Linked DNA regions of Saccharomyces cerevisiae S288C. Changing the gene in region 1 together with any one later gene gives a genetic interaction. Each region holds a gene or a part of one and is shown in the gene's direction. Other genes may lie near its edges. The genes, in order: RGI2, HPF1, VRG4 and YER187W.

Region 1 (7,425 bases):
TGCATAATAGCCCCAGGAATCCAGATACTGGCACAGGCCCTCGTCTTTCTCAGCAGCATCACCTCTCCTTAAGGAACAATAAGATAAATCCCTCTTATAACGAAATATCTGCCCTTTACAACTTGAACATGGCCTCAAATTCCAATAATAATGGTAATATTCCCACTACAAGTACGAATGGTGATGACCGTGCCCTCCAAGCAAAGAATGGTGGAACAATTACACCTTCACAAACTCAAATAAATCACAAAAGATTAAAGCATATCTTTAACGAGAAAAGCTTTAGAAAACAAATGACGAATAGAGGTATGTGGCAGCTGAAGATCATAAATTTCCCACCCTATATACCTATAGAATTCTTGGAGAAATTATCAGAGTCTGATTTCAATGAGTTAATGAACCAAGAGAAGTTCACAGTTATTGAAATTAAAGAGAAAGGACAATTGGAAAAATTTGGAAGGCTAAGATGGACAGTTCTAAAAGATTTTATAAAACTGAAATGCCCCAAGCTATTAAGACTACAGGAAAGACAGTTTCTACAGCAACAAAACGAAGCATCTTTACTCAATGAATCTATGGACGCTCTAAAGATATCAGAAAATGAGAACACCAACGGGAGTGCAAATAATAGCACATACACAAATGGCGGACCTCGAACATCTATCAATAATACAAGGGAATTCTATGTAGGGGTTTATGAAGATCATGAAGAAGCAACTCTACTGAGGTTTGAATTACCGGAAGATGAATTAGAGGAGTTTAATAGAAATTTGCCAACTACTTTTGCACAAAGTGGAAACGTCTCTGACTCCGAAGGTGATAGCAAGGCGAAATACTTTAAAGTTAGCACAATTGTGTATAATGCCATTGTTGGGTTCCACGATAAAGAGCTGTCTGATTTGACGTTCGAATCCTTACAAGACCAGGAATATTCACTGGGGTACAAAATTCATGTAATGGAACTGCCACCATTTGACGAGGATGAATTTGAAAATCAACGGCAGCAGTTCTAAGCATGGATTAAGAGGATATTATTATTTTATCTTACATAAATATGTACGCGAATTGAAAAAGAAAAAAATATTGTGTAGAATGTGTATTAGGCAGTTATGTATGTAGACAATTTTGTTTTGTATTTTTATCAAAGTAAAGGCTGGAAAACCGGCTGTGGTAAATTGCCATTTTGAAAAGAATTTTTGTTCTTTGTAACGTATGGCGCTGGCACAGACTCGTTGTGGTCATTATTATTTGTGTTGGAGGTGGAGGTGCCAGTGTTTAAAGTAGTGTTGCTATTTTCTTCATTCATTGGCGATTTAGAGATCCTATTAAGGATGTTATCAAAGGCAGTTAAGCTTGATTTTTTTGGATCATCTTTTTCTTGTGGTACCAATGGAATAGAAGGCATAGAGGGGTTTTCACCTATGCATGACATTTTGGGCAACGTAATGGGCACTGGTATTTTTGCATCTTGTAGTGGAATGGTGGAAATGTCCTTAATTACGAGATGAATCTCGCTCGTGGAAAAGGAATCAAATAACTTTGCCAAACTTTCATCGTTCAAGAGGTTATCGTTATGGAAAATACCAAAATTCTTGTTCTTGTTGATAATATTAAATAAATTTTTACAGTTTTCCAAAACTTCAGACACCGTGGGTGGTCCATTGCTCAACTGGTGGAAAGTAAAGGCTTGCTCGCGATCATTAAATCTAATGATCACTCTGCGATTAACATCTTTATTGGCCGATTGAGGCTTCATTGGTAGCGTAGTTAAAAGTGTAGCTCTATTCGATAGAGTGTTATTATTATTCAACATAACGTCACTTGAAACGACAGGAGGGCTTCTCTTAACCCTCTTGTTAGGTGAAGATGATGGTGGTTCTGACGCACAGGAACTAGCCAAAGGATACTGAACCATCACAATATGATGTATGATTTCACTTAAAGGGTAAAGCGTGGGGTCGAAGCCAAAATCCTTGACAATACCACCTATGACCAAATACAGTAGCCTTAGTTGTACCTGAGCCGCGGGGAAATGAGATAAGTTATGTCTTGTAGCGGCACCGAACAGTCTTTGAGACAACAAAGCCAGATTTTCAGGAGAGCACGTCTTGGCAGTGATATACTTCATTGAAGAAGAGACCAAGTTGGAGAAAAATCGTTCGATAACGAATGCAATAGACATTCGGATTGACATTTCACCCAAAATCTCCAGATTTGCGTATATATCAATGGATCCTGCAGCCTGCGAAATGTCCTGACAAGTTCTTGATCTTTGGATTTGTAGGAGTAACTTTTCCCTCAGGAAAAATGGCACGGTAGAATCTATCGGGATGTTTGTGGTAATGTTAGGTTGCTGGCTGAGTGAAGACGTAGCAAAATGTGACAGGTTTGGCCCAGTATATGGGTCCTTGAGAGCTTGTTCTGATAGGGGTACGACATTCGTAACAAGATCGTGCACTAGCATGGTGACTATATCGTTATACTTTTGTTGGGTCGAAGTAACCGATGGAGATGAGTCATTTTGGGTGCCCACGGTTGGAAAAATGGTTCCGTTATGACTCTGGTGACTCATGAGAGGCTGGAACTTGTTTGAAAACTGGAAATCTGCAGCATAATTAGAACTAGGCAGGAAGTCCGAATTGGAGCGCTGGTAGATCGACGGAGAGATCTCGTCGTCAGAAGTAGAATTTGACGAGATGCTGTTGTTGACATTGCCGCCACTGCCATTGGCTATGCTGAGAGCGTAGCGTTTTTTTGATCGTTTTCTATTCCTTCTCACTGATTGCACAGCAGCAGTGACTAACTTTTCGAATTCCTTAGAGCAGCTTACAGGGTATCCAAACTCCGTTCTTAATATTGTAGCAATCTGCTTTATGTTTTGATCTTGTTCGCTTGCCTTATATTGACTTAGTTGGAATTTGTCTATCAGCTCCAGCCTTCTGCTCGAAAACTGTTTCCATTTCTTTTCATCATTAAAATTGAGTAATTCTCTAATCTTATGAGTTGCTCCATTCCCAGAAAACTTATTTATTCTATATTGAGTGAATGTTGGAGGACCGTTCATATGTGTATAGGATATAAGCAACGAAGAAGAATAGGTAGAAAGAGAATAAAGAAGGTTTTAAAGCTATAACTAGTAGAAAAGAAAAATGTAGGAAGGGAATGCGGATGCGTTTATGCTAAGATGCGATGGGGACAATAGAAAAAGAAGAGAAAAAAAAGGAAGAGGAAGAGGTAGTGGTATAGAGAAAGAGAGAGAAAAAAAAAGGCTAGTAGTATTTGTATAGTAGGGAAAGGGCTAGATTAGAACTGAACCAAGCTGACCTGAATTGACTCAATAACACCATTCTCACCCACACAAGTACCGAAGATCCAAAAGGCAAGAATCATGGAAGAGAGCACATTGATTTATAGTAAAAAAAAAAAAAAGAGAAGACGACGGTAGAAAGATTTCAGGGAACATATGGCTTACACTTATGCTGAAGAAGTAAGAGGGAGAAGCGAAGCAAATATAATCTGTCACAATGCACAGTGCGCAAACGTAATCTGCCCACTCAGCTAATAGCTCCTGCCATGATTCTGCTGCGTAGTCTATATGAAAGGAAACGAAGGTCAGAGATGAAAAAGAGATAAAAAAGAAAAGAAACTTCTCCGAGGGGCGCAGAATTCAGGGCAAAACAACATGGAATCGATCAAAAGTCATAGTCACCCACGGAAACGTGGCGCCTATTCCGTGGCAGCTACCCGCCCGCCGCTTGTTCTCAGGGCACTTGTCCACTGCATTCCGATGTTCCGCGGAAATTAGCACGGCCTCTTATCCCCGGCTCCGCACGATTCCCTGTGTCCGTGCATAACGAATGACTCTTGTGTCGTGTTATCCGGGCTTTCTCCTTTTCCTTTCCCCGAGAAAGCAACCGACGCATACGGATATAAGCGGATCCCACCGAAAAGGAGACTCCACGGTCTTGGTGAATAACATCGCGCAGATTATTCTGCGAACCGTGGCTAATAGGAGCATGCCCGAAGAAATGATTATGGGTGCGTGATCACCAATCTGTGTGAGGCTGTCGAAGATATCTGATAATCAGTAAGCGATAAAAAAAAAATAAAAATAAAAAAATAACGACACCAGCAGGATTTGAACCAGCGCGGGCAGAGCCCAACAGATTTCAAGTCTGTCGCCTTAACCACTCGGCCATAGTGCCTAAAACAATGTAGGTTATTTAAGCAAGTATTGTAGATACTTTTCGTAATAAACTACAATGCACCCACGACTCGCGGTGTAATGATGGCATGAAATCATTGAACGAAGTTTTGCGGCTATACGGCTGAAGGACGAGACTAAAGGGACAGGAATTATTAATGCGGGGTATAATTTGAATAGTATTAACGGGCACTGCCGTTTAGCCATCAAATGCTATTGTTGGGGTATTCTCTCTACTTTTTGTTCTTGGCTTGAACCTTTTCGGCGGTTGGCAATCGTCCGTATATAAGCATCGGCTGTCCCAATCCTCTATTGCCCTTTTCCCTTGCACCTCCTTCTCAATTCTTCGTATCTTTCGCGTAAAGGTAGATCTTGATTCACCTATCTGTCGAAACACGATTAAGTGCAAACGAAACAACGTACAGTATATAACAAAGTATTTTAAATAATAAGAATGACGAAAAAGGATAAGAAAGCAAAGGGTCCTAAGATGTCCACCATCACTACAAAAAGTGGTGAGTCCTTAAAGGTTTTTGAGGATTTGCATGATTTTGAAACATATTTAAAGGGTGAGACGGAAGATCAAGAGTTCGACCATGTCCATTGCCAACTGAAGTACTATCCACCCTTTGTCCTGCATGATGCGCATGATGATCCGGAAAAGATCAAAGAGACTGCCAATTCGCACTCTAAGAAGTTTGTTCGCCATTTACACCAGCATGTTGAGAAGCACCTGCTAAAGGACATCAAAACCGCTATCAACAAGCCAGAATTGAAATTCCACGATAAGAAAAAGCAGGAATCCTTTGACCGGATTGTTTGGAATTATGGCGAAGAAACGGAGTTGAACGCCAAGAAATTCAAGGTGTCTGTCGAAGTTGTATGTAAACACGATGGCGCAATGGTAGATGTTGATTACAAGACAGAACCCTTGCAGCCACTCATCTAAGTTTGGGGAGCTGTTTTTATGAATTAACGAAATTTTATGAATTTACGAAATATAGCATGCTATATAAAATAATTTATATGCGCATGTATTTTGGTGTGCACCTTCTTACTGGAGTGTATACAAGTCTACAAATCAACACATGTGGTTTTTTTAATGTTTTGTCGTCACAACGCGACCTTAAATAAAAGAATTCCACGCTAGATTCATGCTACTATCACGAACAATACGTACCAATTAAGCTTTCTTGGTGTAATAAAAAAAGAGAAATGTACACACCACCATGATTCCGTTTACGTCTTGCTTTTCTACTTGTTTCGCTCATGGGTTCTCATCAGCTCTATTGTGTGTGCCCTCTTTGTAGATAATTAAACACATTGAAAAAAAAGAAAACGAAAAGATGGCACACGGCTTGGTCATCGAGTGAAGAAATGAAACTTCAAAAAAATTGCCGGACACTTAAACCTTAACGAGTTATACAGAACCGTATCCAGACCTGGAGCTGGGCTATAAGAAGAAGCGACAATATGGTATACTAAATTTCTGGACTCGTAGTCACTCAGTCTGTTTGTCAGTAAGTCACGTAGACCTGTATCGGCAGTAACTATGGTATTTTTTCCAGATTAATTATTATACGATGTTGTTACTTCGATAAGGTCACAACAGGTTTTCCATTGTTGAGAAACTGACTTTGATTATTATTTAGTTAGTAGGCAACTGTCATGTTGCAACCACAACAAGCAACAATCCTTTCACCATGACTATTATAAGCGGCCGGCAAAATTGCCGGGAAAACTGCCAGGGATATAATGCAACCTTCATTTGAGCACTTAAAATAGAAGATAACGTTGGTAAACCCCCCTTGATAGTGGACACATCCTACGTAGATCTCTCTACAGCCAAGTCGTATATATAGCAGCAAATTGCAACCAACCACATGGGACATAGGAATGAGTGGTTTTCTCAGACCCTGAACGTGACCGTCCATCATGAATTTCTCCACAGTTTTTCAAGCAATAATCGCGGTTTTAGGTTTAACTACAGTCACAGCTTTAGCAGAATTTGATTTCGACGTAGGCTATGAAGAGTTTGTCCGTACCAATCCTGATACGATTTTCTTAGAGAGTGATATTGGCCTGCACGTTGGATATACCGAGGGTGGCGAACGACAGATAGCAACGATACCACACAATTCCACGCTAGGGACTTCACTACGTGAGTATAGTGGCTGTGGTGGTAATGGTACAGAAACCTCCATCGCTACCCCCGCACCTACAATGAGTGAGGTACCTATCGCTACCTTCGTGAAACGTAGAAAAAGTGTACCTATCTTGCTACCGCAGGTATGTATGTGAAGAGTTGGTGAATTTTGAGATAATTGTTGGGATTCCATTTTTAATAAGGCAATAATATTAGGTATGTAGAATGTACTAGAAGTTCTCCTCGAGGATTTAGGAATCCATAAAAGGGAATCTGCAATTCTACACAATTCTATAAATATTATTATCATCATTTTATATGTTAATATTCATTGATCCTATTACATTATCAATCCTTGCGTTTCAGCTTCCACTAATTTAGATGACTATTTCTCATCATTTGCGTCATCTTCTAACACCGTATATGATAATATACTAGTAACGTAAATACTAGTTAGTAGATGATAGTTGATTTTTATTCCAACAGTATGGGAGGTATATGAACCCCTACAACCACTCATTTAGAAGTGGGGGACTGTAGTTCTTTTATGAAGTAACGAAATTTTATGAAGTAACAACAAATGTTGTTAATTGTAATCTTAATAATCTAACATTTAATAAATCTTGACCTTAGACTTTTTTGTCTATTCATAATATGCTGATATTACTTTTCTTAAATATAAATATAATCTATATAATATTATTAACGAAATGTAGGAAGCTAAAAAAAAAAAAAAAAAAAAGAAAGAGACTTTTATGCGTATATTTAGGTACCCCGGTACTTACTTCTGTATATATAAATCAGTGAATCAATACATATTTTTTTTTAATGTTTTGTCCTTATAACGCGACTTATTCAAAAGAAAAAAAGAAGTCCCATGCAAAAATCTTGTCATTATTGCGAATGGATATATCAGTGAGACCTTTTTAAGGTTGTAGGGAAAAGGAAGTACGCTTCATTACAATTTCGTTCATGTCTTGCTCGCCTACTTGTTTTGCTCATAAATCCCATCAGCACCATTGTATGCGCCCTTCGTAGGAAATTAACGCATCTGAAGAAAAAAAGAACTGCAAGA
Region 2 (9,751 bases), on another chromosome or scaffold:
CTATTGTAAAATTGAGAAGAAGAATGCTATTGTTTGATTCATTACTCGACACGTATACAATGCACTGAGATACTTATATTGTGCTCAATTTTTTGCAGTTTACGAAAAATAATGAGCAGTACATTCTCGTCAAAGTTTGCAATCATATAAAAAATACCATCTAATTCAATGAAAAAGAATAGCTCCAATTTATTTTAAAAACATAAACGAACTAATATTTACGGTATAGAAAACATATTCTGTGGAAGTAATGATGTGGTTATTACAAGTTACCTAGACAGCCACCAGGTATAACAGAAGCACTGTAAACGTCAGCGAGATAGTAAAGATAGTTGTCGGTGTTTCTAACTGCGTAAGTAGCATTGTTCTGGGTGTAGTCCACAACTTCTTCAAGAGTTTCCGCGTACTCGCCAACATATCCATCCATACTCATGGTAGGGACGTGCAAGTAACGATGTAACATATCAATACCTGCATAATGTTTTGGACCGACATCGACAATAGTACCTTCGAAACAAATTGTTGATAGTGGCTTTTTGGAAGTGTAGAAGTAATCACAAATAACAGTTTCAGCTGGAGCAGATTGACGGTGATGACCAGCGTAATAGTTTGGATTAGCTGCACACAAGCCATCAATATCATCACATCTCATGAGCATGGCACCCTTGGAAGCCTCCATCAATTGCTCAAAGACACCCATGACGGTGAAAATACTACCATTACCAAACCATCTTTTGTAGTAAACGTCATCGACACCATAGTTCAAAAGTCTATCTTTACCATAAGCGGTGATTTCAGCGGTATCCTTAAAAGCTGCATTCAACATTCTTGCGTTCGTCTCATTACAGGTTTGGTAAATGGTAGGAAAAGTTGCGTGACTCCAACCCAGAATTTCTTGAGATGAAGGAGATTGTAACTCAGCAGTAGAGTTGGTGTCGTAAGTGACAGGAGCACTCAAAGCTAGAGAAGCAATAGTTGCAAAGATGATAGATTTGCCGGAAGAGAACTTCATAATGTTTAGTAGTTGTGTGTGGATTTGGTTTTCTATCTTAATTGCTCAATCCCAATTCCTAGATGGGTTGTTCTCCCCCAATGACAGTAATTTTGTCTTGTTTTTATACGTTTCTAATTGATATATTGAAGGACCAGAATGTAGCTCTATTTGAAAGCATGTGCGGCGTCTATAGATCTCTTGTAGAGGGTTCAAGCCACGGAAAAGAACAGTACTTCAACAGATTCGTGATCTGGAAAAGAAAGTATAATTTCTTTTTCCTCCAAAGAGGTTACATTCTTGTAAGCAGTATGGCTACAAAAAACCTTCAGGGTCCTAACCCTGAAGGTCAATTATAAGAAGCCTTTAAAAACAGCGCTTCCGCCATGTCATTGTCGACAGCTAGCTACGGCTGATTCAGCGCGCATACGATTTTTTTCTTTTGGCTAGCATAAATTGATCGCATACTGCCCAAAAAGAAACGGCAAAACGTCAGAGCTTAATGCTTCATTGACATTGCGGCAGCAACAAACTTCCGTTTGGCACTCAATGATCAGCACCTCTTTTCCACTTCAGCTGAAAATTTCAAGCAGTTGACTCTTGTTGGACTTTATTCTTATCTTTTTCTTTACTTAATTTTTCACATTTTAAAAGTTGTTTAGTTTTACCCTTTTTGGAGATTTTATTACAGCGATTGATTATGGGCCAGGTGAATATTGGTCAATTATTGAAATTTCATTTTATCTATGAGAAATAGATGAAAAAATTAGATAATTGTGTTGGGATTCCACTGTTCTCATTAGGTATGAATTTCTCCTGGAGGATACAAAAAAAAAAATTCACAAAAGGGAATCGATTTTTGTCTGTATGATATTATTGAGGCTTTCATTCATTTTACATATTGTCGTTCATTACCTTGTTACATTATCAATCCTTCCATTTCTGTATCCTTTAGATATGATGACTGCCTCTTGATGTTATGCCATATTTGCACCAGTATGTCATATATACTAGCAAGAAGACTGCTAGTCAATTAACAATAGTTGATTCTCGATTCAGCAACCATATTTTTGGAATCGGACTGAATTTTGTCGAACTAATTATACACCTTTCCTTGAAAGAATAAGCTGTTAGTGAGAAACAAGCAAGAACTTGCTAGCCGTCGCAGTTTGTCGGATTTCACTAAATAGACAAAACTACATGTAGAGTATCGTATTTCTATGGTAAAAGTTTACACCATCAAAAATTACCCCGCGAAGACTACGCAAATAAGGTTATACAAGTTAGTTGAGATGAAATAATCATCTCCACGTTCACGATTTAAGGCTAAATTGGAATGCGGCTAAAAAAGAGCGCAGTTACAAGAAAAAGCTACTATTTTATTATGCACGTGTGATAGCATTATCTTCAAGAATAAGCTCAAAAAAGAAAATGAGCTTAAAAAACCGCCTTTCCAGATAATTGAATGTAGCATATACCTATACATGCTTACCATGCCAAAAATATAACGGAACCACTACACATATCGGACCGTATTTTTATGGTTTATCAGTAAGGCCAACCATAAACACCTCAATGTTGGGGAGTCTGTCCTCGGCAATCAATGACGATGCCATTTCACCCTCATTCGAGTACTCGCTAACGTAAGAAAAAGGCACCCCGCAATGGGGTAGATCATACCCTAAAATGTTTCCTAGGTAGAAATAATAGTTACTAGGTAGGACGAAGGCAAGTACTACATAGCAGTACGGTTTCTGAGTCAGTAGTAACCCCTCAAACTTGCTCACACTTATCTTACCAAAAAATGGAGACGGACAATCAAATCTGAATTAAAAACACCGTCGCTTAACTGAATCAGAGAGAGAAGTTGAAACCAATGGTAGGAAATCAATCTAAAATAGAACACTTTAATTCTTAATAAAAAGAGGGGAACAACTTATTTTCTCCATTTGGCCTCGGCAACTTTCAGGGGGGCTTGAACGTATATACCGATCTACGTTGGAATTGACTGCTACTTCGTTCCACTAACCCAACTCAACAAATAAGCCTTGGAACCGCTGCAAGATTAGTCTATGTGACCGTGCCTTTTTTGCACTTTTAGAGAAACAGTGTTAAGAACTGTAATAACTGTTCAATTCTAAGCACTCAAACCGTGCTTGTACATATGCTTCAATGGCCTGCTCGATAGACCGATCACGTTTAATTTTTCTTTAATTTTGCCAAGGGAACGTTCTTTTCGTAGGCACCGCAATTTATTTCTAATGGATAAGTTCTGAATTTTGCTATGAATTAGTTAGTAGGGCCTACTAAAATGGCGTGGTATTTTTAAAGGGCCTTTACCAGCCACTCCTCAACAGAAAACCGTGCTCGCGTTGCAGAAATACGAGGTAGACACGCGCCTTAGGAACATAAAAATAAATATCTCGCGCTCACGGAAGGCAACCACTAACTCCTTTTCATCGAAAAGTGAGGTGTAGCTTACTAAAGCATTCCTCTTTATCCAAGTCGTATATTTTTCTTTATACTGCTAGTTCATTCTGAGCGGAGATTCCTGGCTAACTCTCCAATTGGAAATAAGGTAATAATGACTTTTCATGACGAATTGGGTGAAAATGCTTGGTGCTAGGCCCTGTGTTGTGGCTTTTTTCGGTAATAGTTTAATTTTCCAAAAAGGTTCCTGTGACTATCTTATCAAAGTAGCTTAGACCACGTCCTGCACGGTTTTGCAGACTGCTTAGGGGGTCTCTTGTTGTTATTAGCAGCGGAATATCTTTGTTTACTCATTAAAATGCCCCCCCGTTCGTTGCAAGGAACGCGCGCGCACAGAACTTGCGGATGCTTCCGCAGAAGTGCCCGTAGGAGATTTAAGCTAGCCCAGCGGTTAATCTACGCAGTTGCGTATTCGGAGTCCGCTCACACTTGCAAAAAGCATATAAAAAGCTTCATATTCATCTCATTAGTATCGGTTCTGCCATCCCATTATCTTAGGTTTATGCCTTTTCTGGTTCTCAAGTCAGTAACAACAAATACCCATCGTTGATTCTTTTTGGTAAGATCTCGCCTGTCAAAGAGATGTTCAATCGCTTTAATAAACTTCAAGCCGCTTTGGCTTTGGTCCTTTACTCCCAAAGTGCATTGGGCCAATATTATACCAACAGTTCCTCAATCGCTAGTAACAGCTCCACCGCCGTTTCGTCAACTTCATCAGGTTCCGTTTCCATCAGTAGTTCTATTGAGTTGACCTCATCTACTTCTGATGTCTCGAGCTCTCTCACTGAGTTAACGTCATCCTCCACCGAAGTCTCGAGCTCCATTGCTCCATCAACCTCGTCCTCTGAAGTCTCGAGCTCTATTACTTCATCAGGCTCTTCAGTCTCCGGCTCATCTTCTATTACTTCATCAGGCTCATCAGTCTCCAGTTCATCTTCTGCCACTGAATCAGGCTCATCCGCCTCCGGTTCATCCTCCGCCACTGAATCGGGCTCATCAGTCTCCGGTTCATCTACTTCCATTACATCAGGCTCATCCTCCGCCACTGAATCGGGCTCATCAGTCTCCGGTTCAACTTCTGCCACTGAATCAGGCTCATCCGCCTCCGGTTCATCTTCTGCCACTGAATCAGGCTCATCCGCCTCCGGTTCATCTTCTGCCACAGAATCAGGCTCATCAGTCTCCGGTTCATCTTCTGCCACAGAATCAGGCTCATCAGTCTCCGGTTCATCTTCTGCCACAGAATCAGGCTCCGCTTCTTCGGTTCCTAGCTCATCCGGTTCTGTCACAGAATCAGGCTCATCCTCATCAGCATCTGAATCATCTATCACACAATCTGGTACCGCTTCCGGTTCATCAGCCTCCAGCACGTCCGGTTCTGTTACACAATCTGGTTCCTCCGTTTCCGGTTCATCAGCTTCTTCTGCTCCAGGTATCTCGAGTTCAATTCCTCAATCAACCTCATCGGCTTCCACTGCCTCTGGTTCTATCACCTCCGGTACCTTAAGTTCTATTACCTCTTCGGCTTCTAGTGCAACTGCAACTGCTTCCAACTCTCTTTCTTCCAGCGATGGTACTATTTATTTGCCTTCTACAACCATCAGTGGTGACATCACACTCACCGGTTCAGTCATTGCAACTGAAGCTGTCGAAGTCGCTGCAGGTGGTAAGTTGACCCTACTTGATGGTGACAAATACGTTTTCTCTGCTGATTTCATAATCCATGGTGGCGTTTTCGTAGAAAAGTCTAAGCCAACTTACCCAGGTACCGAATTCGACATTTCTGGTGAAAACTTTGATGTATCTGGTACCTTTAACGCTGAAGAGCCTGCTGCTTCTTCCGCATCTGCCTACTCCTTCACTCCAGGCTCTTTCGATAACAGTGGTGATATTTCTTTGAGTCTATCAGAGTCCACAAAGGGCGAAGTCACATTCTCTCCCTACTCTAACTCTGGTGCTTTCTCTTTCTCAAATGCTATTCTCAATGGTGGTTCCGTCTCTGGTTTGCAGCGTAGAGCTGAATCAGGTTCTGTCAACAACGGTGAGATAAATCTTGAGAATGGCAGTACCTACGTCGTTGTCGAACCAGTTTCTGGAAGTGGTACAATCAACATCATCTCTGGCAACCTTTACTTGCACTATCCAGACACCTTTACTGGCCAAACTGTTGTATTCAAGGGTGAAGGTGTTCTTGCCGTTGACCCAACCGAAACCAACACTACTCCTATCCCTGTGGTTGGATACACTGGTGAAAACCAAATCGCCATTACAGCAGATGTCACTGCTCTTTCTTACGACAGTGCTACTGGTGTTTTAACTGCAACACAAGGCAACTCACAATTCTCCTTCTCTATTGGTACTGGGTTCTCCAGTTCTGGCTTCAACGTCTCCGAAGGAACATTTGCTGGTGCCTATGCTTATTATCTAAATTACGGAGGTGTTGTTGCTTCCAGCGCTACACCCTCATCCACATCTACCACATCAGGGGCTACCAACTCTACTTCCGGTTCCACTTCATTCGGTGCTTCCGTAACTGGTTCAACCGCTTCCACTTCATTCGGTGCTTCCGTGACTGGTTCAACGGCTTCCACCTTGATTTCCGGCTCCCCATCTGTTTATACCACAACATTAACATATGCAACAACCACAAGCACAGTAGTTGTCTCCTGTTCAGAAACAACTGATTCGAACGGTAACGTCTATACCATTACCACAACCGTACCATGTTCATCTACCACCGCCACTATCACTTCTTGCGATGAGACCGGATGTCATGTAACTACGTCTACCGGTACCGTCGCCACTGAAACCGTTTCTTCCAAATCATACACCACTGTTACCGTCACCCACTGTGACAACAATGGCTGTAACACCAAGACTGTCACTTCTGAATGTCCTGAAGAAACTTCAGCAACTACTACTTCTCCAAAATCATACACTACTGTTACCGTTACTCACTGTGACGACAACGGCTGTAACACTAAGACTGTCACCTCTGAGGCCCCTGAAGCCACAACCACTACTGTTTCTCCAAAGACATACACTACCGCTACTGTTACTCAGTGCGATGACAATGGATGTAGCACCAAGACTGTCACTTCTGAAGCTCCTAAAGAAACTTCAGAAACTTCAGAAACCAGTGCTGCCCCTAAGACATACACTACTGCCACTGTTACTCAATGTGATGACAATGGTTGTAACGTCAAGATAATCACCTCTCAAATACCTGAAGCTACTTCAACCGTCACCGCAACTAGTGCTTCTCCAAAGTCATACACTACTGTCACTTCTGAGGGTTCTAAAGCAACCTCATTGACTACTGCCATTTCCAAGGCTTCTAGTGCAATTTCCACATACTCCAAATCTGCAGCTCCAATAAAGACCTCTACTGGTATCATTGTCCAGTCCGAGGGTATTGCCGCAGGTTTGAATGCCAATACTTTGAATGCATTGGTCGGTATTTTCGTTCTTGCTTTCTTTAACTAATTTTTTTAACTGAGGAATTAAAAGTTTATTCCTCTGAAACGAGATAGGTTCTTAATATGCGTTTTATATACGCTTTGTGTAAACAGTTAAGTATTTTTTTAGCTTAATATTTGGATTTTTTTTATTTTTTTTATTCTTTTTGGATGAAATGGTTCCCTCTTCTGCCAATGAAGGGGAGACTAGGTTGATGTGTACACATCGTACACATTTTAAGGACACTTATTTCACTTATTGTCCACAGTAAAATCGTTCAGGCCATAATTAAATGCGAACTTAAGAGAACCTAAAAGTACCTCCCAACTTTTATAGTGGAGCTTCCGCTCTTTGGTCAGAAAAAAATCGAGTTCTGAACACTTGGCTTTATATTACAAATTTCTCCCTTCCAAGAAAGACAAGGGGTGCTTATCGCGACATGTCTCACAATAAACTTTATTATATTTATACTTTATTTATTAATAAGAGTTTCAAATAGGATTCTTGGAGAATTTTCAAAGCGTTTTTGCGTATAAGAAACTTTTCGGTTTGGCTCTTATCAGTTTACTGCCGATCTTTCTTCCTCACTGCTTGACCTGCCACTACGGAAGATCTTACCGACAATGATGTGAGCGGCGAGAACAAGGGAAATCTCGTAAGAATAGGAAACAACCTAACCTCATTTACTAAGAGAACCCGCAGGAAAAGATATCTTTTTGAGGCACAATTTTATGACCGCGTGTTTTCGAATTTTGACAGGGATCATGCAGGCAGAGATTTTCATGTCATTTGACAGCAAGTAACCCACAATCTACAGTCACACCCTTTTTGGCTTTTTTGAGGCGGGACTTTTTTTTTTAAGACATAATTCTTCAGCAGATTGAAATTCTGGTAACCTAATTGAGAAATCCCACGCATAATTGAGTTTTAACTTTCGAATTTTTCAGCAAGATAAATTAATGTCTCGCCCGGGCCATAGACAAAAGAAGAAAATCTATAAACATTCCGTGGATCGCCATGTGATATTTCTATTTAATATAGGCACATGGCTATGGCGAAACCTTAATGTGATACTTATGGTACATATATGTAACATGCTATAGTTACAGTAAGGATTGGCAACTTAATTCGTTTCCTTCGATTTTATACTCTTCGAACGTATTTGCAGTCATTGGCAGTAGAACATCATTTAGCACATCCAACGACTACCGTCGTTGTGCACGTGACACTCACCCCAATTGGACACTGACTTGAACTAAAATAACAGCGTGTCATATAGATAAGGAAGATAAATATATTGGAACTGGTAGTATCACATTTCCATCATGAAAAACCCAGTGTAGCCATATCGAAAATATCAGAAACGAGTGGTAACACGGAACCTATATATATTACATAGGCTGCAATGAGTATATTGATTCATGATATCGTAGCTGCTTGAACTATTTTTCAAGGCTTCAAAAAATATCATGGTATTATTAGCATGCAACTTGTGAAAAAATAAATATGCATTACAGTACAAGGATCTGAGTGTTAGATTTATAGTCGGGCCTAGTTGCACTCTTAATAATACGGTATACATAATAATGGATTGCCATCCGACAACTATAGCCAGTCACGCATTTATTGAAGCTTCCATAAAACATTCATTAGAAATTAAAGGGTACAAAAGTAAAAACATTATGTATAATAGAGAATTAGTTTCGTCAATTTTTTTTTTTGCTTTTTTACCAATTTACCGAAAACTAGAAGATCAGCTGGAAAAGAACCTCTTGTAAATTGGTCTATTGTCATGATCTATTGCATCAGCATCGTAATCTGCGGTTCTTCTCTCCGGTGGCACCCATGAGGCCGATTTCCATGCTGGCACACCTTCCAGCCACATAGTATTCACCTCCTCCAGTGTCAGGCCTTTTGTTTCTGGGACAAAGAAAAAGACATAAAAGTATGCAAAAACCAGACAGCCTAAGAATACGTAACCGTAGTAAAAGTTGATTGCCCCGGTAATGAATGGGGTAAAGAAACTAATCAGGAAACCCCACATCCAGTTTGCAGCTGTTGCGATTGCCATTCCTCTTGATTTGACCCTAAGAGGAAACGTCTCTGAGACAATAACGTAACAGCCGCCTGCCCAAGTGGTGGCGAACGAAAAAATGAAGAACATAGTAAACACAATCATACAGTTACCGGCGCCCTGAGAAGTAATGTCTTGGTGACTGCTTCCTTGAGGCCACAACTTTGTCACACCGACGGAGGCAAACACAGCAAAGCAGCATAGCATAGAAGCAGCACCCCACAATAGACACGTACGGCGTCCAAACCTCTCAATGGTGTATACCGCTATGAATGAAGAGAAAAAATTAACCACACCGATAATGATCGAAGTCTGAAAGGAGTCCTTTAGACCGACAGATTTGAAGATGGTGGTACCGTAGTAAAAGAAGTAGTTGTCACCGGTTAATTGCTGCAGCGATTGGATCATCACTCCCATGAGAACACGCTGAAAGACCTTTGTTTTAGTGGAGAGTAGTTCAGACCATGATGCGTTACCTGCCAGCTTTTCAAGTTCAATTCCTGCCTTTATAGTGTCATATTCAACTAGCAAGGCTGGATCGTCAACTGAGACTTTGTTGGATTTCGATAGTGAACGTTTCGCTTCCTCATCTTTACCAACCTCAATCAGGTAACGTGGTGATTCTGGTACAAACATCATTCCACTAACCATGAATGTAGCCCAGGCAAAGCAAAGACCAAGGCCGACTCTCCATTGAGTGGCGTTGTGATAGTTCTTGGTACCGTAATTGGTACAGT
Region 3 (7,792 bases), on another chromosome or scaffold:
GAACGTAGGGTACACGGGAATGCGGATAGTGTTCAACCTTGTTTTATTTGGCGGTGCAGCGACTGCATTTTATAATTGGAAACAAGATAAAAAGCTAGAGGAACAATTAAGGGATCTTGTATAAATTGGAAGCAACAATAGTATATATATATATGCGCTTGCGCAGAGTACGTTCTATTCATTTTTTATCATTCATTATCTATCCCTGTAAATAAACTAATATAAAAATTCAAAAAAATAATGATTTCGCCCAGGATCGAACTGGGGACGTTCTGCGTGTTAAGCAGATGCCATAACCGACTAGACCACGAAACCACTTAATTGAAATATACAACCCCAAGATAAGATACTTGCTTCATAGTTTAGTTGTAAAATTGAAGTTCAGTACAACATGGCACTAGTATAAAAAAAAGTTTACCAGCCATTACTGCGCACTTACCTACATTAGTCACTCTTAGCGTATATTCTAAATACGCTTAGAGACGTCTCCTTACTATTTTTCATACGTATAACTCTCAAAGGACAGTATAGACATATCCCTGGGGGCTTTTAGAGTGCAGCCTCTGGAGGTCTACACACGTTAATAGTCTCAAAAAATACGCTAATATTTGTTAAATAAGCGAATAGGTCTTCATGTGCGCCTGAATCAGTAGCTGTCTACATGGTAAAGAGTAATTTGTTGACACGAAAATTGATAGTTGGTTAAAAAATATTGCAGATTCAATACTACATGAAAGACTTAATTACAAGATAGACTGATGGTGAAAAAAGAATGTACAGGTTTACCGGCAAACATTTTGAGAAATTAAAGCCCAAAAAATTTTGTGTACCTTATGATTTTCCTCCTCTGTCTAATCCAGTTCCGTATCTGGGTACTGCTGCTTCTTTGTTAAAATCGCAGCATGCTTCCCATTGTTGGGAATTGACTTTGAGCAATATTTAGTTAGTAACTACCATATAGGTGACTGTCGTGTGCCAGCTATAACAGAAATAATCCTTTCACCATGATCATTGTAAACGATCAAAGAAAACTCTGAAGGGACTATAATGCAGTCTTCATGCAGACACTTGAAATATACGACATTAGTAGCTCCCAAGGTAGTAGGCACATCCTGCGTAAATTCTCCACAACCATGTTGTATATATAGCAGCCATAGTATGACCGAGCACATGGGACGTACGAATAAAAGATTTTCTCAGATCCCTGAACTTGAGCGTCAACCATGAATTTCTCTACTTTTTTTTCGAGCAGTAATTACCATTTTAGGTTTGATTACAATCACAGCTTCAGCAGAATTTGATTTCGACGTAGGCTATGAAGAGTTTGTCCGTATCAACCCTGATAAGACCTTCTTAGAAAGTGAGATTGGCCTTTACGTTGGTTGGACCGAGGGTAGTCAACGGCAGATAACAACGATACCACATAATTCCACGTTGGCGGCATCACTACAAGAGTAGAATGGTTGTGGTGGTAATGGCACAGAAACCTCCATCGCTACGTCCACACTTACGATGAGTGGTATACCTATCGCTACGATAATGAAGCACAGAAAAAGTGTACTTATCATATTACCGCAACTATGTACGTGAGGTGTAAATTATGGCTCTCATAGGACATAAGTAGGACAGAAATTGAAATTTTTGTGTTGGCAGAGCGAAAGAAACTTGAATTCGTTTATGAGGAATAAATTCTCAGCTCCATCCATGGTTCCAGTTGACGCTATGATACGCAAATTCCTTTGTGATACAGGTATCATTTCTGCAATTCCTCGTAGATTGTTGATCATACCATAAGATTGATGCTGGGGAAAGTGGAGAAGCTAACTTAACGATTGAGGCCTTGGCAAACCCTGTTAAACCAGTACTATCGGCCTTAACATGCGACTTAGAGAGAGAGAGAGAGAGAGATGTTTGCGTTTGCGTCATGATAGAGATGCTACATCCACATAGTTGTTGTAGACATGTTTAAAGGTACAATTCTGCAACAACGCCTTGAAATTTTCCAAAACTAACCAAGCACATTGGAGTTACGCTTATATAGTAAGCCACTTCACTTGCGTTGCTGTAAAGGTTGATAACTACAGGTAGGAATTAATGAATGTTAAATAAAAAAGGGAAATACCATCATCTCGACAAGAAAGGCAAAATAACTTTTCAATCTCACCAAGACGCGCGAACGAAACTCGTGCGTCTATATTAGTATCTTGACGGCGCTTTTACATCATTAAAGGTGTAATAAAACTGAAGTCATGCGATGGCACTGAAATAATCAAAGTAACTATTTGTGATGGCATGCACTGTGATATGATCTCAAGGAAAAAAATGCAATGTCGGGCGCCAATACTTATGATCATGCTTAGTCTCGACATTGACCTTGCTTGCTACAGTAATCTGGTGTCCGAGTAGTGACATCTAGGTACCGGTGAGAACTATATCTTCATTACTACACTTGTCGCCCCTGAATATTATCGCTACACACGCGAAAGAGCTCTTGTTAAAGTTACTCTCGCATCATTGCGGTACATGTTTTGCATATTCATCTGAAGTAGGAAAGGGTATAAGCAGTATATGATGTACCATCTGCATAAGCGGTGTTTAATGCGTACCTATCGTTTAAGAACAAAAGGAACACACCCACACCCGCTCCAATACCATATTGAGAGAATAATGAGGTAACATATGCTTCTATTTGGTTCGATAAGACGGCTACTAGTCCAAAAAAAGTCAAACAACAATTTCAACAGCTACATTCTGAAGATAGAACGCATTTTTGCCTGAATATTGCAACTCAATAGACATTCTAAAGTGCTACGAGAAAAAAGCTTGTAATGGACCATGGCAATGTGCGCCATATATATATGCGGCTCCCTTATGAGTAGAAGAAAATATATGACTGGTGGTACAAAGTGGCATGGTGGTATATAGATGTAGGAACACCATTTGAGTTTGCCATAATGATTAAATTTCCCTTTTTATAAAGAATTAGCCGCCCATAACACGAAAAATATCACAGTTGACGAAAGAAGACACGTCGCCTAAACGCGTAATGAATCGCAATATACGAAAAGCTAAACGGGTTTTTCAGAATCCTCTTACCCAGCCTTGGATAATAGTTTTGGCCGAAAAAAAAAAAAAGAAAGAAAAAAATTGAAATTTCGCGATCCGAACAAACAATGAACAGAAAAACAGAATATATATAACGCTGCCAAGCCTATTTCTTGTTGCCGATTAATTGTTGACATCCTCTTAATTACCAAAAGAGCCTAAGAAAACAAACACACTAACCACACAGTATCTTTCGCCCGAATGTCTGAATTGAAAACAGGTCATGCAGGCCATAACCCTTGGGCTTCAGTTGCCAATTCCGGTCCGATCTCTATTTTATCCTACTGTGGTTCCTCTATTTTAATGACGGTGACTAACAAGTTCGTCGTCAATTTGAAGGATTTCAACATGAACTTTGTCATGCTTTTCGTGCAATCTTTGGTTTGTACTATAACCTTGATTATCCTACGTATACTGGGCTATGCGAAGTTCCGTTCATTAAACAAAACAGACGCCAAGAACTGGTTCCCTATTTCCTTTTTACTGGTCTTGATGATCTACACCTCTTCGAAGGCTTTACAATACTTGGCTGTTCCAATTTACACCATTTTCAAGAATTTGACTATTATCTTGATTGCTTATGGTGAGGTTCTCTTTTTTGGTGGCTCTGTCACCTCCATGGAATTGTCATCATTTTTGTTGATGGTCCTTTCTTCTGTCGTTGCAACTTGGGGTGACCAGCAAGCTGTGGCTGCCAAGGCTGCTTCATTGGCTGAAGGAGCAGCCGGTGCTGTTGCCTCCTTTAACCCAGGTTATTTCTGGATGTTCACCAACTGTATCACTTCTGCATTATTCGTTCTTATAATGAGAAAGAGAATTAAGTTAACTAACTTCAAGGATTTCGACACTATGTTTTACAACAATGTTTTGGCTCTACCTATTCTATTGCTGTTTTCTTTCTGTGTGGAAGATTGGTCTTCAGTTAATTTGACCAATAACTTTTCTAACGATTCGCTAACTGCTATGATCATCAGTGGTGTTGCATCCGTCGGTATTTCTTACTGTTCCGGTTGGTGTGTTCGTGTTACTTCGTCTACTACATATTCGATGGTAGGGGCTTTGAACAAGCTGCCAATTGCCTTGTCTGGTTTGATTTTCTTTGATGCTCCAAGAAACTTCTTATCTATTCTCTCCATTTTTATTGGTTTCCTATCAGGTATTATTTATGCTGTTGCCAAACAAAAGAAGCAACAAGCCCAACCTTTACGTAAATGAGAACTTACGGGGGGTGCAATTTATTTTTTTTTTTTGGTTTATTTTATTTTATAGAGGCATCTAATGCAAGTAGATTTATATACAATTATACTTAAAATTGATATACCTTAGAACAGGTCGGACACAACGTGTGGTAACTCCAATATATCACTAATGACAATAGCGCCTTCTGGTGTTTGCCCCAAAATTTCATTTACTTCATTCTCAACTAAATGAATACATGTTTTCATGCCCAATTTGATACCTGTCTCGATGTTTTTCCCACTGTCATCTATAAAATAAGCATTCTCGTATCTTGCCAACCCGCTTTCCTTCATGGCTTTTTCAAATGCTTTAACATGTGGTTTGCAGACCAGCGTATCTGTCCTAGAGTAGTCACAATATGTCAATCCATCAAATAAATCCGCTATACCCAACAATCTCAGGCAACGTATTGCGTGGTTTTTATAAGCGTTGGTGAAAAGCCACAATTTATCAATCTTTCCCGATTGTCTCAATCTCAACAGCATATTCCTTAATGGTATATCAGGTTTCAAGATATCTTGTAGTGGTAAGGAATCATCCACAAGCCGGTTATATTCCAGTGCGTTCACTTTGTGGAACATTACAAGTCCCCTTATGGCAAGTCCATACTCTTTGTAGTAAGAGTTATTCAAAACGTGAGCATCTTCAGGTGATAGTTTCAAGTGTGTTTGAAAGAACCTCAGTATAGATTGTTGCATAAGATCGTGAATTCTCGTGGATGATTTATAGAGACAGTTGTCGATATCAAAAAAGAAAACTTTTAAGTTCGGGTTTTGAGGTGTAGCAGAAATATCTTGATCGATCGGAAATGTCACTTTCGAACCTGGATGAGTCAATGATTCAAGATGTGCTTTATTCTTGGCAATTTGTTCGTTCACCTCATTCTGATAGGTTGCCAAATCGGATGCAGTATATTCAACAGTCATGAAGCCTAGTAATGATTCGGTCCAAGAGCTTACTCATGTATTCCGAAATTAATTCAGGTGAAATGGGGGAGTAATATGATATCAAGAAGGCGATCACTTATTGAAGTCCACATAGATACACACAGATAAACATATATATATTATGTATATATATATATATATATATATATATATATATATGTATATATCAACGCCCATACCATTATCATTATCAATAAGTTTGCGAGGCGGGTACCCTCCCTCGTGCTATTATATTACTGTTGCCTTAATTGAGTAATTTGATCGATGACTAATTGCAAGAGATTGTGATTGTTGTACGAAGTTATAAAATCATCCACAACACTCGTTGAGTTTTCCAGTGGTGAAGGTAAGCGGGATGAGATCTGAGTCTTAAACTCTTGCAATTGAGTAATCAATTTATTTCTCAAATCTGTCAGTGTCTCTTGAGGGCATTTATACAATTCTAAGTTTTGTAGGATTTCAATCGTAGGCTGCACCGTTTGATAAATTTGCAACGTGGTATCATTGGTTAAACCTTTTGAATAGAATACCGCTGTATCAATATATTGTTTCAATGCATCATCATCAAGTGGAGATACAGTGCCATCATTGAGGTTCGTATCATTATCATGGAAGATATCTAATTTATGAAGAGTTTCAGGCTCCTTAAGCTTGGCTCTCAAAGTAGAGAGTGTATCCAAATGTGTGTTTATTTCTTTCACGGTTCTCCGAATGAGATGGTCTCTAAAGGTGGACGAATTCACAAAATCGACAACAATCGCGTCCTTATATTGCTGATTGGAGTGATATTGATGATCTTTGCTGTTGGCACTTGATATCAGTAACGCTTGAACGTTATCGTTAAATAGTGTCTCGAATAGGGATTCATTGAATATAGAAAGTAAATCATCGTCCCACTTCGAGGAAAACTCCGTGTTTAGTAAATTGTATAGTTTTACCCACTGTAGTAAAGTTAAGTTTAATGTCTTCATAGAGTCCACCAAGAACTTCTGTAGTCGACAACATTTGTCCTTGACAAGCGCTTCAAATTTGGAAGGAACTGGTATCAAAGATAATTCGTGGAAATTCAACAGTAGCTCGTCGAATATCCGCGACGGAGTAGTGGAAGTAACTATACGATTACAGAAGTTGTTGATGGAGATGGTCCAATTTGAAATTACTAAAATGTTTTGCGATGGTATGCTGACTTTTTCTTCGTCACGAGGTGGTGATATATGGGTAGTGGTTTGGTATGGTAGTGGAGTTAACTTATTCAACTGAAATTTTTCATCATTGAAACACAGGGATTTAAAATCTTGATCAACATTTTTCAAATTGAGCGACAAGTCATTAACAGAATCGGTCAAGCTTAAGATCTTGTTATAGTTCTTTAGCAAATTCTTTTGGAAGGCCTCATTGGTTTTAGTCAAATCGTTCTGTAACTCCAATTGATAATCTTTAATCTGTGGAATATGAGAATCGCGAAACAATGGTAAGACTTCATCCATTTTCTATCGTATTGGTTTTTTTTAGGTTTTCTACCACAAGATTTGTTGTACGAATGTGTTATTTATTATTCACCGCCATGTTTCATTTTTCTTCAGCATAATGATGAACTGTAACAGAAAATAGGAAAAAAAAATTGTCATCTGAGAAATTGCTTTGGATGACCAGATCCAAAACAGACATAAGCATTCGTATAATTGGTACATAGGTATATATCAAATAAAAATATGCATTATTCTAAAAAAAAAAAAAAAAAAAAAAAAAAAAAAATCAAAAATGTCTCTCTAAAGGGTGATTATAAAAAACTTGGTTTGGGCAAGTTTTTAGCCTCCCTTGGACCATTAGTGGCGAAAGTGGAGCCTGCATAAGAGTGACTGAGTTTTTTGGCACTGCCATTACAACCCATTGGTATTATCCCTTGAGAGCCATGCGGGGATTGTTTCTGGTTCAGAAGCAGATTCTTTAGGTTCTGACTCAGTAAACGAGTATCATCTTTGTTGTTCTGTCGTGGCGTTTCTTTATTATTCTGTCTGTTTTTTTTACCTAAAGTAGTTGTAGAGGAAGGGGAAGAAGGTGGAGAGTGCTTCTTTTGATTAAATGATGGTTTCTTGTTGGAAGAATGGCCGAAGTTAGGTTTCTGACCGTTAGGAAGAGTTTGAGGAGGTGGTATATCTGTGATATAGTTGTTATTATTGGCGTTCTTAGCAGCATTTCCCCTCGCACGATTATTTCTAGTTTTTTGTTTGATTAGATTATTTGTCTTGTTCCTGCCAGCCGATGGCAACAGCCTGGAGCTGTTGAAATACATGGTATCCGTCGACATGCCTTGTAATATTTGTGTGAGTATATTTGTGTGCTAAGTGTAATTACGTTACGCTTTGCTGAGTACTTCGTCTTCAATACAGAGTATGTTATTGTCCTTGTTATTTGAAGACTTTTACCTTTTCTATCCGTATTTCTCTATCCGATACAACAACATCATTTTACACGAACAGCCGGATGATAAAACTGTAGTA
Region 4 (7,374 bases), on another chromosome or scaffold:
TTCATCCTCTTAGTTATTTTCTTGGTGGACCACGTGCCTTGCTTAAAGCAGGGCGCTGCCGTTGTTGCAACAGCATTTTCAGACTTTCCTTTAGGTAAAAAAGGTCAACCAATAATTTTATTTTATTTCTGATGATGGTTGCGCGTTCCAAGAAAATCAAAACCTTGGGCCTCATCCTCTTCTAAGACGTATAATGCAATCAAGAAACCCTTCCCAAAACCTAATAAAGGCTTGTTATTAGTTTCAAATTCAGGCAGAACTCGACTTGGATCTTTTAAACTTTTAAAGTCGTAGAAAATAGGTGCATAATTAGCTAAAACAGAAGAGACTCACCATTTGAATTATATAACTTTATTAATTCGAGTAAAACATCCATCAGGTATAGCGTGTTGCGGAAAGACTTTTTTTACTCTTATTGTAACAAATATGTGTTACAATTTACCTGTAACCTTGTTCTGTATAAAATTTTCTCTCGTTGTCATATGCCAATCTTTATATAATTAATAGAAATTTAGGAGGAACACAAGAAGAGGGGTAGATCCCGACAAGCCTTAACATACAGACGTAAAATTACTCGCAAATTTGCGAACCACTTGGTCAGGTGCGGTACGTAAAACGAAGATTTGTACAATAAAAATATTGTTGGTTTAGCTAGATTATATTCTCCGATGATTTTTTAACTTCGATTTCCATCAAATTTTATATTAGACAGTAATGGAGTTTCAATTTCGAAGTCACTTCACTTGAAGCTGAATTATACTAAAAAAATTTTCTTTTACTTGATTTATTGCTCTGCAGTGTCTGATAGTGTAATGGCGGATAATGCAAAGAAGAGTAAAGGGAAGATATTTTATTTCTTTGATTATACAAAATTTTTAACTTGTATGTGATCCCTGTCTTTAATATCGTTTCATTATACAAACTAACTACAGAAATAGCTAAATGAGTGATTACTGTGCCATCATTTTGACTTCAAAGATCATCTATATCTTGATATAACATCTACCTGTCGAAAGTAAGATCATCCCTTTGCGGGCATGTAAGGTGTAAGATATAAGAACAAACAATTGCTAGAAAATAGCTTTGAATGAATGTTAAAAGGGACTGAACTTAGAAGTGTGCGATTTTCTGTTTTCAAAATTTGCCCAAAGCGCTTCTTTTCTTTTTAAGAATTGTATAGATGTAATTATTTAACGGATGTCTGACATTATTGAACCTTCCTAACTCCACAAAAATAACCAACGGGACCTCTACCTTACTAAACCACTTCCCGCCCCATTAACTAACCAGCATAACCTAGACAATACAAGGAAATGTACTTCGAAATTTTAAGGTAAACGCAATTCTTGTCACAATATAAAGCTCTCACTGTGCTCATACACTGCTTCGATAATAAAAACCAAATGGTTTCTACTAAAACATAGCAAGCCTCACAAGATATAGAGATCACACACCATTGAAAAAGAAAGTTCAGCAAGTTTGCTGGAGGTTGCAAAGAGACTAACGAAGGGCTTTCATAACGACATTTTACAGTTATTGATAAAAGAATGCTTTTACGACAGCAGAACCTATTGGTTTGAAGAAGATAGAGGTCTAGTAGTATATTGTTGCTTTAATGATTCAAACTCTTAACAATGTGGGCAAATATGCGTATGATTTCGTTCTGGGAAAGGATAGTAAGAAGCCTTTTTGATTACAAAACCGTGAAAGACGGTTTAGCAGCTTTTACAGGAAACCTGCTTTACCTTAGCCAGTGTTTTCTCATCTTCAAAAAAAAGTATTGTACGCAACTCTTCCATCTAGCAGAGCTCCCGCTCTTTTTCAAACAAGTTTCATTATATTTATTCTTAATAATTTTGGTATCATCGAGGTGAGGTCTTCGTTGTTTCAACACCAGCTATTTTTCAGCGGCTTACAATTACGTAGTTCTATTAACGAATACACTGGGAGGTGAGTATAATCATGGACTGTAACACTATACGACTCCAACACGTTATATGTATCAGTTATATATATATATTATATTATTTTGGGAAGAGTAGCATTGCTTTTGAAAGTACACGGGGTTTACTTTGGCTCATAGAATGGGTCTGGATATGAAATTCTGAAATATTCAGATTTTGGAGTACTGAAAATATTTAGCAAGAATTTCAAATATTAGTTAGTAAACCAAACCAAGGCATCTGAACTTGAACCTCCATAACTCGCTTTCTAACATAATGAGCTTGTATGACATAATATTATAGAACTCGAGGTTAACCTTTAAATATAAATATAGTAATCTTCATGATAATAATTTCAGGGTAGTGCGCGTATTTGTCGAAAAAACGCAAAATGACAGAAATTCTATGTTTACTGACTTTAGATTTTGTTTTAGATCAATTGGCGGAAAAAGGACGCAGTCTGTAACTTTGATTGGCATCTTGATTTGATTTGTTGGGTGGTTCTCTTACAATCAATGGTTTATTTCATGGAAAGCTTGATGACATGTGATAGCACACCATGCTAATTAGTGAAAAGAGTCCTTGTTGACTTACCACATGTGCAGCCGCCTTTTACCGTGGTGCGAAGCATATTGAGCGGCCTGGAGACCAAGAATGTCAGGGCCTTTAAACAATAGAAGAAGTGTATAGGAAAAAACTAAGGTGTTTTGAGATATTTTTTATAAAAGTAGTATTTCTTAAAAATCAGCGGGGAGCCATTCTTTGAAGGCGCGCTTGCAAATTTTAGGTATTGGGCTTGATTATTTTGGCAAGTGTCATGCATTGTAACAAATCTATATAAAGTGACAATTCTGGAACACTGTATCGTAATCCCAAATAATGTATGTAGAATAGAAAAAAATATATGAAAAAATGAATAGATCATACACAGACGACATGAATAGCAGCCCTCCAAATTACTTGACAACAAGGACGTTTAGAATCGTTAGATTGTTTGCAATAATTTTTGCACTGCTTTTGGTAGCGTACTCATTATTTTTAAGCACACTTAGAACTGGAGCTATACCTGACCGCGCCAACACTGCTGCTCTAGTACGGCGAGCTAGGTGATCATTTGCGACTGGATTAGGACTAGGAGGATTTTTAATTGCTGCAGCCGCTTATGCTACTCCTTACTGGGTCGCAGCAACCTGTATCGCATCCACTAGCGGAATATGTTCACCTATAGCTGGTGCTGTTTTAGCAACTTCAGCAGTTATAGTTGCAGCAGTTTTAGTGGGAAAGAGTTCTGGCTCAGCAACAAAGCGAGGGTTAAGTGAGACTATTAATGTACTGAATCATACTATAACACTCACTGATCATGTGCTCAATGGGCAAACATTGTCTAATGGTACTGGTAGTAATTTTGTTACAATAGAGTTTAGTGGGTATGCAGTACATGACACTATTAAACGTGACGGTGCTGCTGAGATCAACTTTGTGGGGTATACTACGGAGCATGGAACCCACATCAGCACGAGTAGCGTACATAATGTGAGCATGCTCATCGATCAAATCGTGGCAGCGGTACCAGGGGTACCTGATATAAGTGGCAACGCTTCGGCCCTATCGTTACAGAGACGCAGTCAAGAGTTCGCCACCTCATGGATATCAATGACATATAGTCAGAGTTATGGTGACCTGGCACAGAACTGGCAGAATGACGAAGGTGGAGCAGGAAATTTTGATTCTTATGCTGAAGAGAAGTTACAGAATTTCTTTTCAGGTAATAGGGATTGGAAATACTGCTTTGCTGCTGAGGACACGAAAAACGGTGAGCCACTTGATTACGATGACATACCTGGTGACGGTGCAGGCACGGGTTCGGCATTCAAGTCTGAGATATATTTTAACACTTACGGTGGTATAGATAATTATTGTAATGACGAGCATATCGGTGCTCAGAACACTGGAGATGGTCGATAAAGCTTTACGCCTGTCGCTGAATTGACTGACCCGAAATTAAGAACTGTTGACGTAGTGAATTACGATCTAGTTTATATGTCATAATGTAGTAAGTTTATTGGACCCTTCTATATGTTATGTAAATGTAATAATTACATAGTTACTGCTTTTGTACATAGAAACTATAGTTTCTTAAGTACTACCGGATTAGAGGTTTGCTACTATATGTTTTCCTTGTCTCAAGCATTACTGAAACAACTCTGAAACAATACTAAAACATTACTCATATCATGCTTTTGGGTTACCACATTCAACAATAACTCGAATACATTTATAAAAAAAACAAAACTAAGGTACAAAACACACACCACACCACATACGCGCTGATTGGTTTTATGGAAGCTAATAGTTCAGACATAGCTCAGAAAAATAATAATAAGTATTATCAAATATAACTCATCTGGTTACATGCTAAGTTCTTGTCAAGTGATATAGCGTTATCTTTATTATTGAATTAAATTCTATAATTAGAATTCGACTACACCAACTAATGACTCTAAAAAATATGTGATTGCCCTTCAAGATTGCATTATTTCTCAATGCATTACATACATAGAGTATACTAGATACAGATAGATGATTGTAAGTGTTGGAACAAGATTCAATTATCATCCTATTTATTGCGATAGACGCACTACTTGAGAGTGATATACTTACTTATGCTACTGCATTCAAAGAGTACCACTAAACAATCTCAACAGAATCAATCAGACTTTTTTTTGCCACAAAAACTTTTAACGATGTCCTTTGGCAGTACTGTATTTTGAGATTAAAGGCGTTCAGTCAATAAAAAATCTAAATTCTTGTTCATTTTCAGTTCTGGTATTTTTTTCATATTAATGATGGGGTGGCTCTGGAGGCTCATTTTTCCCACTGAAGATCGCTGGTAATTTCGTTCGTATGTTTTAAAGAGAACTATATCCTGTCGCCAATTATGTGCAGTTGATGAGAAAACTAAGATAGAAATAAGTAGGGATGGAACCAGGATCCACAAGAAGCGCGTTTAGCCGATCCGGCTTATCAGGTACGAGAAGCAGTATTATTAAGTAAGAAAGCGCGCAGGAAAGCGGCCTTTTGAAAGCACGTCTGCAGACATCTCACGACACATTCCCAAATAGGGCCCTGCTAAAAAAAAAGCAGCAGAGCGTACGTTGCCTGGGAAGCATGGTTTAGCGTGTTGCTATATTATGGTAAGGGGGGTGGTCAGTATACGTTGTGCTGACTGCCAGAGAATATCCTTATTCACAATTATTTGTTGAGTTTGATACTTATTTACAGAGACTATATATAATGACACTTTTGGAATACAGTATCGCTACTCAATATCATAAAAAAAGTAACAATAATGATGCCTACCTACCTAGGAAAGTTAACGTGGTCATACTTTTTTACCACTTTAGGACTAGCTTGTGCTTACAACGTAACAGAACAAATGGAATTTGATCAGTTCAAATCAGATTACCTTGCCTGTCTCGCACCAGAACACAGAAACATTGTAGTCGATTTGGCTAGTAATGGATTCATAACAATTTCACCGATGGCGAATGCAACAATTGACTTTGAGGATGTAACTAGTGATTATTTTAACTGCACTGACGTCAATACTAACGTACAGGTTACGATCGCGTCATTTTACAATGAATACGGTTTTGGGCCCGATGATAACGGCTATTATCACGCTATGGAAGAACCCTCAGAATTTGAACGGCATGACATGGATGTTAGGCTCTACAGACCATACTATCCAGGTGAGTTTGTCATGGGAAGACGTTCAGATGCACTTGGAGTGACTGGTTTTGACCAAAAGGACTGCGCAGGTGAGGGTTTTTACGACGAACAAACTGCAGCAACGTCATGTCAAAATATAGGCTCCACTCAGTACGCCAAGTCGGTCAGGTCTTATAACTATGGATGCTGCGGCGGGGCGGTCTGGATCAGGATTTGGCCGCATCACAATTGTTCAAAAGGTCATGATCACCATTTCAAGATAAGGCCAGGCCAGATGCTATGCTGGAATGTCAACCCATATTCTTGGATGCAACCAGAATCCGGATGGAATCCGTAACGAATAGGATTCTGGACATACGTTAGGTTCTTGTCGAATGTGATAACCCAAAAGCATGGTACAAGTGATGCTTCTTTTTTGTGTCGGTAATACACAAGGAGAACATATAGTGATAAACCTCTAACCCACTATTACTTAAGAAACCCTAGTTTCTATGCACAAAAGTAGAACCCTATATATCTTATATTTGTATTACATATATAAATGTCCAGTAAACTTACCACATTATGACATATAAGCTAGATCGTAATTCACTACGTCAAAATTACATTATGGGAGTGAAAGTATAATGGAGCACCCGTGTGAGTATGTGCTTGTTGACGTTAACGAGGATGAACAAACGACAAATAGATTCGACGTATTGAAGTACTTCTTGGCCACTTTTCATCTTCTGACGCGGTGAGCTTTTAAGAGCCCTTCTTTTTCGACTGGCCACGTGAGAAGACATACAGTTCAGCTTACATAGCTTTGGCCCATACAATACCTATGTGCCCCAAACCGCAGAGACGATTAGCACACCTTTTTACCTGCACCACAGTCATTTCTCGATAATGGTGAAAACACAGTGATACCACCGCACAGCAAAGGTGCTGCCAATGGACTTGAAATATTTTATGGAGTGCGAATAAAAAAATGCTCATGGACTCGAATATGAGATGCAAAGCCACCCTGTGCAAAATGGTTATCCTTGTGGGAGAGTGTTACGACAGTGATGTGGCATATTATTCTAATGTATGGTCTGTGTAAGTACGAAATATTCTGAAATGGCATCCGTTCAAGCAATGGTAATATTAAGGAACTTATACGTTAATGACGTCATGGTGGTATTGATACGTAATTGAGTGTGTTTATGTATTATCGTTGAAGGATAGAATATTTTTATGTTTAGGTGATTTTAGTGGTGATTTTTTTGTAATATTGACATAAGTGTATATAAATTGAGTGGATAGTAGATGGTGAAAAAGTGGTATAACGTATGTATTAAGGGCAGTTATACAATATTTGGGGCCGCCGAATGAGATATAGATATTAAAATGTGGATAATCGTGGGCTTTATGGGTAAATGGCACAGGGTATAAACCGCTGAGGCAAGTGCCGTGCATAATGATGTGAGTGCATTTGTACTGATTTAGTGAGAGATGGGCCATGGAGTGGAATGTGAGAGTAGGGTAAGTTTGAGAGTGGTATACTGTAGTAGCATCCGTGTGCGTATGCCATATCAGTATACAAGTGAGGGTGAGTATGGCATGTGGTGGTGGGATTGGAGTGGTAGGGTAAGCACGTGTGTATTATTTACGATCATTTGTTAACGTTTCAATATGGTGGTAGAACAACAGTATAGTGAGTAGGACATGGTGGATG

The links.
Region 2: mutations in RGI2 (region 1) and HPF1 together harm fitness more than expected from each alone (negative genetic interaction), as found in Saccharomyces cerevisiae (one large-scale study listed by BioGRID).
Region 3: mutations in RGI2 (region 1) and VRG4 together harm fitness more than expected from each alone (negative genetic interaction), as found in Saccharomyces cerevisiae (one large-scale study listed by BioGRID).
Region 4: mutations in RGI2 (region 1) and YER187W together harm fitness more than expected from each alone (negative genetic interaction), as found in Saccharomyces cerevisiae (one large-scale study listed by BioGRID).

The regions. Positions count from the first base shown.
Region 1 is NC_001141.2:245,630-253,054, reverse strand, and holds RGI2 (Rgi2p), read left to right. Parts: upstream 1-4,658; coding exon 4,659-5,153; downstream 5,154-7,425. Other genes in the region: YIL055C (uncharacterized protein), read left to right, coding at 1-1,013; VHR1 (Vhr1p), read right to left, coding at 1,142-3,064; YIL059C (uncharacterized protein), read left to right, coding at 6,140-6,505; YIL060W (uncharacterized protein), read right to left, coding at 6,229-6,663. UniProt on the Saccharomyces cerevisiae protein: Involved in the control of energetic metabolism and significantly contribute to cell fitness, especially under respiratory growth conditions.
Region 2 is NC_001147.6:25,919-35,669, reverse strand, and holds HPF1 (mannoprotein), read left to right. Parts: upstream 1-4,063; coding exon 4,064-6,967; downstream 6,968-9,751. Other genes in the region: ZPS1 (Zps1p), read right to left, coding at 263-1,012; YOL155W-A (uncharacterized protein), read right to left, coding at 8,452-8,586; hexose transporter HXT11, read right to left, coding at 8,694-9,751. UniProt on the Saccharomyces cerevisiae protein: Involved in cell wall organization and biosynthesis.
Region 3 is NC_001139.9:73,588-81,379, forward strand, and holds VRG4 (GDP-mannose transporter), read left to right. Parts: upstream 1-3,306; coding exon 3,307-4,320; downstream 4,321-7,792. Other genes in the region: MTC3 (Mtc3p), read left to right, coding at 1-124; SDT1 (nucleotidase), read right to left, coding at 4,428-5,270; Golgi transport complex subunit COG1, read right to left, coding at 5,525-6,778; EDC1 (Edc1p), read right to left, coding at 7,072-7,599. UniProt on the Saccharomyces cerevisiae protein: Involved in the import of GDP-mannose from the cytoplasm into the Golgi lumen. Defective copy causes severe glycosylation defect and abnormal retention of soluble endoplasmic reticulum proteins. Involved in vanadate sensitivity.
Region 4 is NC_001137.3:562,748-570,121, forward strand, and holds YER187W (uncharacterized protein), read left to right. Parts: upstream 1-3,482; coding exon 3,483-3,908; downstream 3,909-7,374. Other genes in the region: YER188W (uncharacterized protein), read left to right, coding at 5,293-6,012; YER188C-A (uncharacterized protein), read right to left, coding at 6,861-7,160.